3 linked regions of the Neurospora crassa OR74A genome follow. The main gene of each other region encodes a partner of the protein of the gene in region 3 in a complex. Links are inferred from orthologs where the notes say so. Each region holds a gene or a part of one and is shown on either strand. Other genes may lie near its edges.

Region 1 (3,463 bases), about 3.7 Mb from region 3:
CGGCGGAATCATAAAATAGGTAGGCCGAAAGGAGACACCACGTTGCTTCTTGAATGAAAAACTCTGATAGTGATAACCCTCTGTCGTGGCAGTCACAAACACCACCATCAGCCCCTTCCTCCTGGTGGTGTTATTCAACAGCCCTATTTTCATCCCGCCAACCTGGAATCATACACGCAACGGATGGATGCCATGATTGAAGCGATTGGACCTTGGTTGCCGCTCCCTACCTAGATTCCGTTGTTCCATGAATTCCTATCCATCCGTCTCTATGGCATAAAGTGCCCGGCATATCTGGATCATGCGCTTAGTTCTCTCCACGGCTACAAGTCTCTATGTACTGCTGTAAACAAACCAATCGCTCGGATTCCACCTGGTGTCCAGCCCCTATGTCCTTAAACAAGACCCTGTCTCGCCTGGCCAAACGGGATCGGTCTCACGGTCTACAACTCTTGCTTTGGCATCATCTCTACAATTTCAAGAGATCTTTCTGCTCACACCCATCACGCTGAAGCCATCTAGAGACCATTCGGGTCTCGCCCTACATGTTGTCGCCCTCCAGATGTAACCGTTCCTATAGCATCAGCTGAGCTTCATCCCTCTCGCCGTGAGGTCGCTGTCCAGACCTCGATGGACAGGGATGGGCCCGCATTTATGATTGAGAGGATGGAGTCCACCCAGGGTCCCTTGTCTGACCTTGCTCAATCGCAAGGCCCTTCACGAATGCCAGGAACACGATGATCTCCGGCTCCATGGAGTTTGGCAAAATCCATGCCGTGGTAGTTGGTACAATACTATGATGCAAGAAGGCTGGAGGGGCAAGCCGCCCATAGAGACACTCTGAATGAATGATATAGAATTCGGGCTGGAACGGCTGGAGGGTTCAATGGGACTCCAAGTTGGGTTTGGGTTGTGCAAACCCACAGAGCCGCCCGCTTGCGCCAACCAAGATCTCACTGCCGAGTGTGTTCACAGCAGGTGGTGGCGTTCAGGTTGCAAAGTTGCCCTGCTTCTTGCGTGCTTGCAATCAAAGTCACAACATCACTGAATGAGACAAGTTGAATCAGGGGAGTTGTTGCCCTGGGCCGTTTGTTGACAAAACTAGGTACTTGGTCTAAGACACACGACGGAGTTTCGTTTGTGGTTGTCTTTCACTCCAGGGCATTGATTGACTCCAGATCATGATTGCTTTCGGACCCCCTCTCAGCCCCTGATGCGTCATTCGTTACCTCCCAGCAAGACAGCTGAAAGTGGGAAGAGGGGTGAGCTAGGTTTGGCGGGGCAGTGGGGTTGAGCGTGCCATGGAAGCTTGCGCAAAGAACACTGTCGAGTGTCGTCGCAACAAACTGCTGCCTCAGGCGAGAACTAGGTTTGTCTGATCCAACCCGATTGCGGTAAAGCTGCCAACTGTCAGCGACTGCCACAGCCGAGCCGTCAGCGGACAGGCGGAGCAAGTCGGCGCCAGAAGCCACGAGCCTTGAGCCTTGTCCCGGTATGGAAGGTAAGGTACGTACAAACCCCCAACCCGCGACGACATTCGCTGGAGAACAGAACCGAGCTTCGACGTCCCTGCGGACCCGAGAAGCTCCATCCCCGTCCCCGAACTCCAGTCTCCAGTTTTCGTCAGGTCATCCCAAGCAAGTGTACACTACGCAATTGGATCACCATCGCCTACACAACGTAATCGCATTGACAACTAACTCGACGATTCAATAGAAAAAGGTAGCTTACACCAACTTCCGCGACTGTCCAACTGTTGTAACACATCTTCTCCCATACATACACTCAACTCTTTTTAATCAAATCACCCATCAAATCTGTCTTCTGGCACGCCAACCTAAGAAAAGAGACCCCATCCGCTAAAGCTTAACCCACGTCACTCTAGTCCAACCAAACCACCAAACCAACCATCAAGATGCTCCGCACCACCGTCTCCAAGCTCGCTCGCCCTACCGTTTCCAGGGCGTTTGCGACCACCTCCCGCGCTCTCGCCGGTGAGACTGGTGCTCCCCCAAAGACCGGCGGCCCAGGGTGAGTTTTTGTTCCGCCGCGTTCCTCGCACGCGCACGTGGATACGCGGCGACTCCAACTAGTTCAAACCCGCTGACATCATACCCTCCCATTCCAGTGACGCTTTCCAGCGCCGCGAGAAGGCCAACGAGGATTTCGCTATCCGCCAGCGCGAGAAGGAGAAGCTCCTCGAGCTCAAGAAGAAGCTCGCCGAGCAGCAGAAGCACCTCAAGACTCTTTCTGATCACATGTAAGAACGACCCATCAGCCAGCCAACAGCCACCACCGGCGCATAGTCGCCACAAACACACCAGGCCGGGCGCGCATCATATGGGCCGTAGTCAGCTACGCACACCATCATCAGAGGAAGCCGGGCCTCGATTCTCCTTCACAAATAAAAGAAAGTTCTAAAAACAAGGCAGTTACTAACATTCGAGAAACAGTGACGAGATCACCAGGGAGCAGGGCGGCGAGCGCAACTAAACGAACAACAAGCAACAATAACAACCCATAAACATATTTTTTTTTCTTCTTCCTCTGCTTATTATCATTCCCTCTCGCGACGTCCCATCGCTACACACGCCACTACGCCTACGCAGTATGAATGCAATGAAATGAGAAGGGGCCAAGGATTTGGGGGGGTTAAGAAAGGATGGGACTTGGGCTACGGGGACGGACGGCGCGCCGAGGATGAGTGTCATCTTACACATATCTCAAACTTACCCCTTGTAGCAATATAGCGAGCAAAGCCATGATCGATGATCACAAAATCACGACCGGGGGACCTATGGACCTCACAAGTTGCATCAATGGGACGAACAAGTGTCTAAAGCAAAACCGTGACAGAACCGAGCTTATGAGAAAGTCCAAAACGAGTCGAACAGTTCCTGTGCTGCAGTAGGGGCGATATTGGGTTCATCGGCTTGCCCTTGAACCAGAATCTCATAATGCGGCTGAAGAGTAATGAAGTTATCAGGAAAGCAAGCCAGCCTACGTAGTTCCGTAACTAATTTTTTTTTTCAAAACCTAGTTACTTTGATCCAGACTCAAGACTCTTCATTATCTTAATGCCACTTACATGGAACATGAAAAAGAAAGCAGACGGGACGGTACTTTACTGAAGTATTAACAACTTCAAGTCCGTCTTATAAGAAATTTCACTGATACCCACCGACGTTCTGAGTCACAACAATGATGCTCTACGTCTCGGTTTTCAAAATGAAACTCCTGGCAGTCGGTACCTATATGTACAGTTCGGCAGTCCGATATGTATGATATTCACTCGACATCATATGAAGACAATATATCGAAAAAAACAGACACATGAACTCCCTTCCAGATGTAATGAACCCCTTTTTGGACTGTGGCCATTACCTTGAACCCATCTTGTTTATTGATTTTTGCTTCCACAACCTAGAATAAGTGGCCTAGCCCAGCCTAGCATAGCATAGCC
Region 2 (3,614 bases), on a different chromosome or scaffold from region 3:
AACGGCAAGAACGCCATCGTCATTGCCTTCCCCGGTGCTTCCCTTGGCGTCCCCCACCCCGAGACTTCCGTCCTCGTCGGTCTCCTCGGCGGTGTCTCCAACATCAAGTGGTCCCCCGGTTTCAGCCTCCTCGCCAAGGCCACCGCCGCCAACCCCGGCGCCGAGGCCTTTGCTCACAACTACGCCTACTCCGATGCTGGTCTCCTCGCCATCCAGATCACCGGCAAGGGTGCCGCCGTCGGCAAGGTCGCCGTCGAGGCCGTCAAGGGTCTCAAGGCCATCGCTGCCGGTGGTGTCTCCAAGGAGGACCTCACCAAGGCTATCGCCAAGGCCAAGTTCAACCTCCTCTCCGCCAGCGAGGTTTCCGGCACTGGCCTCGTCCACGCCGGTGCCAACCTTCTTGCCGGTGGCAAGCCCATCCAGGTTGCCGAGACCCTCAAGGCTCTTGAGGGCGTTACCGCTGAGAAGCTCCAGGCTGTATGTGTGAACCTACAAGAAGTTGGAAAAGAAAAAAAAGATATGCTAACAAACGTTCAACAGGCTGCCAAGAAGCTCCTTGAGGGCAAGGCTTCCGTTTCCGCCGTCGGTGACCTCCACGTCCTTCCCTATGCTGAGGATCTCGGTCTCAAGGTATAGACGTAGACTAGACTTTGGGGGCGCAGAGCGGGTTGTGCAATTCGTAGTTAATTGAAAGAGGAAATACCTAAACGCAGCGAAACGAACCGATTGAAACTGGAAAGGCGTGGATACTTTTTTGAGAAGACGCCAGGGTTGGGAGACAAAAACCAAAACCGTGTACCAACAGCAAAACCGGCCGGGATGAAGTGTGTTGTAGACCTTTCTCGTTGTGAAGCGGGAGATGAAGAACGAACGGCTGGGGACCGACGACTTTTTGTGCATATACAAACCTCTAGACTTTTTATCATTCCTCGCCACTACTTCTCTAGCAGAGCTATAAAACACAAAATGCAGCAGGCATTATTTCTTTTGTTGACATTGGATACCTGTTACAAACGAGGGTGAAATGTCAAGCTTAAGGAATGAGATGAGATATGCTAGTGAGTTTTACGGCGAAGATAAGTAGTTTGGAAGAGACGAGAATGCTTGAGCTCATTTGAAAGTTTACAAATGCGATAGCACATTCAATGTCAAACATCAATCACACAGGTCCATTCAAAATAGGTATCAGGGGTCGATGTTTACTTTTGACCTTGTTAGGTAAGCTGCCGAGCTTGCCCTGGCGGCGGCGGCGGCGGGCGCCCGTAGCTCCTGTTCCGTCACTGCATGGCATGGAAGGAAGCTTGGGGCGGCGTCTCAGTTGGGGGAGTTGGGGTCACAACTGAAGACAAAAAAAAAGGAGGGGCATCACGTGACACACGACGGAGCTTCGGGCAGCGGAGCTTCTCGGGTTCCCTGGTGTTGGATGTGGATTGGGTGGATGGGTGTGCCAGGGTGGGGACCAGTTTTGTCGAGTCGAGAGTGAACCGAATCGCGCGCAAGCAAGTACCGCAGCAAGCAGCAAGCAGCAGACAGCAACAAGTCTTTCTTCGTTTCACCGTCAAGACAACACCCACCCACCCACCCCACAATCTTCGCCCAACATGGTGTTCGCTTGGAAGGCCGCTGGCATTACGTGAGTATCTTGTCTTTTCGTTTTTATTGGCTTGGGGACGGGGAGAGGCAGGGCAAATAGGGCAGTTTATCGGAAGTGTGGGAGGAAGAAGACCAGAATTGCCGCGACAGAGAGAGAGAGAGAGAGAGAGAGAGAAGGATGGAGGAGGATGATGGGACCAACGAGCCTGCCTACCCACGAACGAGCTCGACAACAGAGATTACAACGATTACATGCGCCGAAATCTGGGGTTGTAATTGCCCCGCGACTTGAAATACGATCGATGGACGACAATCTACGGGCGACCTACAACAGGTGGAATGAGAAAGACTGGGAGAGAAAGAGGACGGAGATAACCCCAGGTCATGGACGACAGCAGGACCCAGGGAAACATTGAGGGAGATCAAGGAGAGAGATAATACACGACACACTTGGTCGAGAAAAGCGCCGAATGTCCATGACATGGAGAGACGGGCCCGAATGCGACAAAAACACCGGAAAGCGAGCAAGCGATGCGTAACGACGACTTCGAAGCAACAAAGCAGGCCAGCATTCATCCAGAGCTACGACAGACATACGCACTACAATCACCAGATAGCGCACGGAATGAGCAACACACGAGGATCAGGAGCAGGGCAAGAGGGGGGAACATAGCAGAGGGGACCGGACGAGAGAAAACAGTACTACAAGACAACGAAGGCTAACACGGTTCACGAAAATTACAGCTACAACCGCTACCTCGCGGTCGCCTCTCGTGCGCTCCGTCGCTCCCTCAAGGAGGATAAGAGAATCATTGCTGAGCGTCGTGGCGAGGCTGCCGAGGTCAAGTTCGCTAAGTGGTCGGTACGTAATAATCTTTTTGTCTTTTGGCTATCGGGGAACAATCAGACAAGAGAAGAAGAAAGAGGAGGGGGGAATGTCACGAGTGAGGAGACGGAGAGAAAAAAAATCATGAAGATGGATGGACACCGGCACTGGACGTAAACAACACGAAAGAGAAGCTAATCACACCCCCTCTCTTTCCAAACTACAGAACGGCAAGCCTGGCGAGACCGTCAACCTCAGCTCCGCCAACGCTGCCGCCGCCGCCGAGAACGCCACCTCCGTTCCCTCTTCTTAAGCGGATCGACACACACACAACCAACACACCGTGACGATGTGCTAGGAATGGTGGTGTAGTGGTGGACCGGGAGATGAGAGAAATAGGGTCATATCGCGAATCGCTCCCGCATGGCACTCAAATCCTCACCTCCTGCCGAGTGTCACTAAGCCCGAAGACGTATGACCTGTATCATCAAACATATTGGGGGAGCGAGGAAGAGAAACTCAATAGACGGTTTATTGGCATTTACTTTGTGAACTGGGTGTGACTGGTTGGAAGTGAATCTGAGTGACATATAAATGAACTTGAAAAAGTGTTAGAATGGGTGTGCCGCTCATTGACAGAGGTAACAGGTCCGAGAGTCGTAGATGTTGCACAAGGGATTCCTTTCCCTGAAGTACAGCGTCTCATTGCCTCTTTGGGCTTCATTGCATGATATGCAAAATACGGTAGGCGCTTATTCGACGAAGCCAGTTGAGTTGAAAGATTGGGTTCTTAAAAATAGAAAATGTGATCAATAAAGAATTGTTTGTCATTTCTTAGCAGCCTCATCAACCCACTGACAAGCGGAAAGTGAGGAAGCTTACCTCTAGGTAGGTATGTACCCGAAAGGGGAGTCGGTCGTTAACATTCGGGCTCACGGACGCTACCAGCAAAGAAGTCCGGGCAGCCAGGCACAGACTCAGGTTCCTCCCCTAACAGAGCCAAACATCACCCGACTTCCTCCACTCACCTAACCACAAACAAACAAATGTTCATCTCAAGTGCATACTAATTACCTTTCCTACGGGAGCCCATCCATAGCTCTTGTAAAAAGAAAAAAAAAAAAAACACAAGACCATGATCCCAGACGACCACCAAGCTGCAGTTCAAAGAGGTTTGTTTCTTTCGCTACAATTC
Region 3 (4,197 bases):
ATTTCTAGTCTATCTACGGAAATTCTAATAATTTCGAGGTTTCTAGCATCAAAACCAGCCTTTTTAATAATAAAGTCTTAATAGATTCTAACTAACATAATTGTACAGCCAAACCACGGAATGTTCTTAGGCAATAATAGCCGTAAGGTATATAGATATTGAAACTCCTATCGAAATTCGCGCTATTTTGATACGCAATATAACTCATCAATAGCAAAAAGACCGATCCGTTTATAGAATTCTAGGGACCGCAATATAGCCTTAAATTTTACACTTATCGCAAGCTCTAGGCTCAGTAAAACATGGGTATAATCGCCGCATTGAATCTAGTCCTAAATATCCCGGTTCTATATACGAATTAGTAGGATTCCAGTATAAAAGGGGGGCAAAAAGCTTACTCTTAGAATTACGTCTTTATCTACCCATACTAGCTTTAAATCTAGCACCTTAGTAGCAATATCATTACGTTAACTTTCCCTAAGCTTAGTAAACAGTACGATTTATATCGTAATTTTATTATACAAAGCTAAAAATACATATAGGACAATACTTTTTCCGTAGCCCATTACCACAACTAATATCGTATCCTTTTATTCGCATACTAGCCGCACTACCACTTAAACCTAGCCTTCTCGAGGCTCTCTATTATTACTAATAATATTTTTCATAACTCTTAGTACGCATTAGGGATTAATAGGGGCATTAACATCGGAATCTATAGCATTGAATGTAGTACTAATAGAATAAAAATTCGAAGAAAAAAAATAATACATCGCAAAGATAAGCGAATTGTACTCGGAGGATAAGACAATTGTAATAATCATACCTACAAAATTTCAAAAAGTTGAGATAAAATATAGTATTGTAGTAAATAGCTAGTCGGCCAACTGACATGTGTCAACACCTAATTTTTTTACGTTTATACAAAAACTTGGCACTTTTATTGGACGCATTAAAAAACTAATTATACTATTAGATTCGTCTCGTCGAGTAGATTCTCCCTATACCCATTAAAGTTCCAGAACTTCCTTTTTTATTTTATTATCATAGAGTCTTACTGGGAAGTTAGTGATTTTATCCCAGCCTCTACAATTCCTATCTGATTGGGAACTCAAACCTCTTTTTTAGGCGTTCTCAATCAATACCGTTAAATATACTAAAAGAATAGATGCACGGACCACAAGTCTGAAAGATTAGAAAGATTCAATTTGAATTTCCGGGCGCGCAGCGCCCTTTCCATTGTACGCGCAGCGCACGGGCCGCAAGCCCCCTTCCCGGCCGCAGGCCGCCCATGCCCAAAAAAGAGGTCTGATTCTGAGATAAGCTAAGTAGGCAGGTTTCAGTGAGGTGGATGGCACGGTGCCCAACAGGAACGGAACAAAAAGAGCTTTTCAAGACAGCCTTCAATTCCACAAGTGAGTTGTACCGCTTGTTCATCTGCAAGTGAGTAGACTGATGCCGCGGTGCAGGATCGCAGGTGCGGGCCAGACCGGGTGCCCCACCCACATGGTAGCTCTGGCAGCTGTCATGGCTGGCAAGAAAGTTTGGCAGAACTCGGCAGCAAGATGGCCTTCCACCTGTGTACATCCGGGCCATAGGTACACTAGATAGGTAAGTGAGGTGCTGCGTGGGGAGCACACCGCAGCTGGCAGGCAGCCAGTAACTAACCAAGCCAATGGCCGGGCAGCAGTCCTCAGCCATTGCCAGGCTCTAGCCGGGAAAAAGGCGAAGGCGCCCGACTGGGGACTGGACAGCGGCACGATGGCGAGCCACACCTCACGAAGAAAGCACGGCCGGAAAGTGAGCAGAGAGCGGAAAGTGTGGAACCGACCTCAGCAAACCTCTCACGCCAATTGCGTCCTATTCCTATTGATCACTCCCCCACGATCAATTGCCGCCTGAATATCAAGTGGTCAACCCCGGGCCACTCCTCTCCAGCAGGTCTCTCCCTCGTCAAATATCCATCTCAACATGCTGTCCAGAGCTGCCCGCCCGGCCCTGAGAGCTGGAGCCGCCGTCTCGTCCCGGTAGGTGCTCTCCCAAGAAAAAAAAAATACCATGTCCTTCTTCCGTAAGAGTGCTCCGTCCGTCTCCGTCCAACATCTCGCCATCTCGCCTCCGTCTGTTCGTCAACCACCGTGCACCAACCGACTACAGCTTCTCGGGGTCTTCGTCTGGCTCTCAGCTCTCTGTGCGACTTGGAAACGAATGCGATTGCGCCGCCAGGTCCCCGATACATGACGTCCGATATATGGAGGGGCAGCACAAGCAAGCAAGCAGGGAACGGGTCGGGTGGGGAGAGAGAGAGAGAAGAGGAGTTGGACACACACACACCCATACGCACACGAGAACGAGAACGGACACGCGATAGCCCCGACACATCGAACCTTGAGACAGAACATGCAGACTGATTGAAGGTCATGACAACAGAGCGGCTGCTCCCGGCGCGGCCACCTTCGCGACTCTCCGTGAAATCGAGACCCGCCTCAAGTCGATTCGCAACATCGAGAAGATCACCAACACCATGAAGATTGTTGCCTCGACCAAGCTCAACCGCGCCCAGCGTGCCATGACCGAGTCCCGCGGCTACGGTGCCACCAGCAACGAGGTCTTCACCTCGGCCGAGACTAAGCCTCTCGAGGCTGAGGGCAAGAAGAAGCTCGTCGTCGTCTGCTCCTCCGACAAGGGTCTCTGCGGTGGTGTCCACTCCGGTCTTGCGCGCTTCATCCGTCGCCGCGCCGCCACCGAGCCTGAGTTCGACATCGTCATCATCGGCGAGAAGGCCAAGGCCCAGCTCTCCCGTACCAACGCCAAGGACATCGTCCTCAACTTCTCCGGTGTTGGCAAGGACATCCCCACCTTCGTCGAGGCCTCTGCCATCGCCGACCAGATCACCCAGCTCAAGGGCGACTACTCTTCCGTTGAGATTGTCTACAACAAGTTCATCAACGCCACCAGCTACGAGCCCACCGTCATTGAGGCATTTTCTGAGGATGCCATCCTCGCTTCCCGTACGTCCTGTCGGCCACCGTGATGCCCGTCGAGGTTCAGTCAGCTGACTAAGTTATATCCAGCCAACTTTTCCGCTTTTGAGGTTGATGAAGAGGTCCTTGGCAACCTCCGCGAGTACGCCCTCGCCAACTCCCTCTACTGGGCTCTCTGCGAGGGTCACGCCTGCGAGATTTCTGCCCGTCGCAACGCCATGGACGTGAGTTCTCCTCCCGTCCCATGCCACCTCTTTGAAGTCGACAGCGGACAGGCTGCTGACGTGAATTCTCTTACCCCTTATCCAGAACGCTTCCAAGAACGCCGGCGAGATGATCAGCAAGTACCAGATTCTCTTCAACCGTACTCGCCAGGCCGTCATTACCGGCGAGTTGGTCGAAATTATCACTGGTGCCACCGCTTCGGCCGATATGTAAACAGCAGCCTAAACAACCGCAGTCTATTAATAGAAGACGAAGATGTATTGAGGGAAAAGGAGAGGGGACCTGAGTAAAAGAAAAGGGTCCAAAGCCGAAATCCATCATCCCTGTCTGCACTCTCAGTTGACATTCAACCATGCCGTTCGAAAGTGTACGAGTATGCGTGGTGTGTGGTATGTCTAGTCCTGGTCCAAAAAGCTGCGTGCCAAATGCCTTCCTTTGTACCAATCAAATGAGCTAGCCTTTCCTTTATTGTACCAACGCCTTCAGTCCATAAATTGTACCACTTCTTTCACACACCTGCCCACTCCGTCGTCAGTAAGCCTTGAAGACATAGCCGCTGTAGTTTCAGTCCACTCAACAAATCTCAGCTGGGATGAGCGCTTGTCAGATGCATGACAATGTCGCTCAGTACAAATTCGTCGGTAAATTCTCAGTAAGCAACCTGACCACGCCGCCGGCCAACTTTCATTCGAAATAAAAGCCGCAGACGGGTGATAAGGGGTGGGGCTTCCATCTCGATGGGTTCGTATATTTGTGAGGAGTTGCTTGTGTTTCCAATATCATCCTGTCTTATCCCGCCTCCATTCCGCGCCGCCGTCGCTTGTTTGGGGCGCTTGATGGGACTGAATGTGTGAAGAGCATGGGAGATGGGATGGAAGTTTCTAATCCTTTTCCGATGTTCAACGGTTAAAAGGACTGGCTGCTTCATTTGCTGTGGAGTTTTGTACATACTCACTTCCCCGCCTGGTTTTAGTATAGGCGACGTTTG

The links.
Region 1: the proteins of NCU09119 (region 3) and NCU02807 are in contact, whole or in part, in a crystal structure (PDB 3ZIA), measured with the Saccharomyces cerevisiae proteins. The link is inferred for Neurospora crassa OR74A from reciprocal best matches to the Saccharomyces cerevisiae genes ATP3 and INH1. Residues at the interface, in NP_009595.1 of Saccharomyces cerevisiae: Met41, Arg42, Lys44, Ser45, Asn48, Ile49; in NP_010100.1 of Saccharomyces cerevisiae: Ser23, Ser26, Thr27, Arg31, Asp37, Phe39.
Region 2: the proteins of NCU09119 (region 3) and NCU03558 are in contact, whole or in part, in a cryo-EM structure (PDB 8F29), measured with the Saccharomyces cerevisiae proteins. The link is inferred for Neurospora crassa OR74A from reciprocal best matches to the Saccharomyces cerevisiae genes ATP3 and ATP15. Residues at the interface, in NP_009595.1 of Saccharomyces cerevisiae: Lys148, Leu152, Pro156, Asn157, Ile159, Lys160, Leu161, Ser162, Ile163, Asn164, Gly165, Ile166, Lys168, Thr172, Phe173, Gln174, Glu175, Ala177, Leu178, Ile179, Asp181, Lys182, Leu184, Ser185, Val186, Met187, Asn237, Arg240, Asp241, Glu244; in NP_015052.1 of Saccharomyces cerevisiae: Trp4, Arg5, Ile9, Ser10, Tyr11, Ala12, Ala13, Leu15, Asn16, Ala19, Gln20, Asn37, Arg38, Gln40, Thr41, Asp42, Ala43, Phe44, Tyr45, Thr46, Gln47, Tyr48, Lys49, Asn50, Thr52, Pro57, Ile60.

The regions. Positions count from the first base shown.
Region 1 is NC_026501.1:9,057,125-9,060,587, reverse strand, and holds NCU02807 (hypothetical protein), read left to right. Parts: upstream 1-1,530; 5' UTR 1,531-1,722; exon of another isoform or gene 1,723-1,885; 5' UTR 1,886-1,915; coding exon 1,916-2,031; intron 2,032-2,128; coding exon 2,129-2,260; intron 2,261-2,453; coding exon 2,454-2,493; 3' UTR 2,494-2,886; downstream 2,887-3,463. UniProt on the Saccharomyces cerevisiae protein: Endogenous ATPase inhibitor, which inhibits specifically the reverse ATPase reaction of mitochondrial F(1)F(0)-type ATP synthase.
Region 2 is NC_026502.1:232,497-236,110, forward strand, and holds NCU03558 (hypothetical protein), read left to right. Parts: upstream 1-1,459; 5' UTR 1,460-1,601; coding exon 1,602-1,633; intron 1,634-2,337; coding exon 2,338-2,455; intron 2,456-2,645; coding exon 2,646-2,732; 3' UTR 2,733-3,079; downstream 3,080-3,614. Other genes in the region: NCU03559 (ubiquinol-cytochrome c reductase complex core protein 2), read left to right, coding at 1-477, 541-636; NCU03557 (amino-acid N-acetyltransferase subunit Mak10), read left to right, coding at 3,555-3,591. UniProt on the Saccharomyces cerevisiae protein: Mitochondrial membrane ATP synthase (F(1)F(0) ATP synthase or Complex V) produces ATP from ADP in the presence of a proton gradient across the membrane which is generated by electron transport complexes of the respiratory chain.
Region 3 is NC_026501.1:5,400,798-5,404,994, forward strand, and holds NCU09119 (ATP synthase subunit gamma), read left to right. Parts: upstream 1-1,386; 5' UTR 1,387-1,611; intron 1,612-1,690; 5' UTR 1,691-1,971; coding exon 1,972-2,027; intron 2,028-2,430; coding exon 2,431-3,011; intron 3,012-3,074; coding exon 3,075-3,208; intron 3,209-3,293; coding exon 3,294-3,422; 3' UTR 3,423-3,724; downstream 3,725-4,197. UniProt on the Saccharomyces cerevisiae protein: Mitochondrial membrane ATP synthase (F(1)F(0) ATP synthase or Complex V) produces ATP from ADP in the presence of a proton gradient across the membrane which is generated by electron transport complexes of the respiratory chain.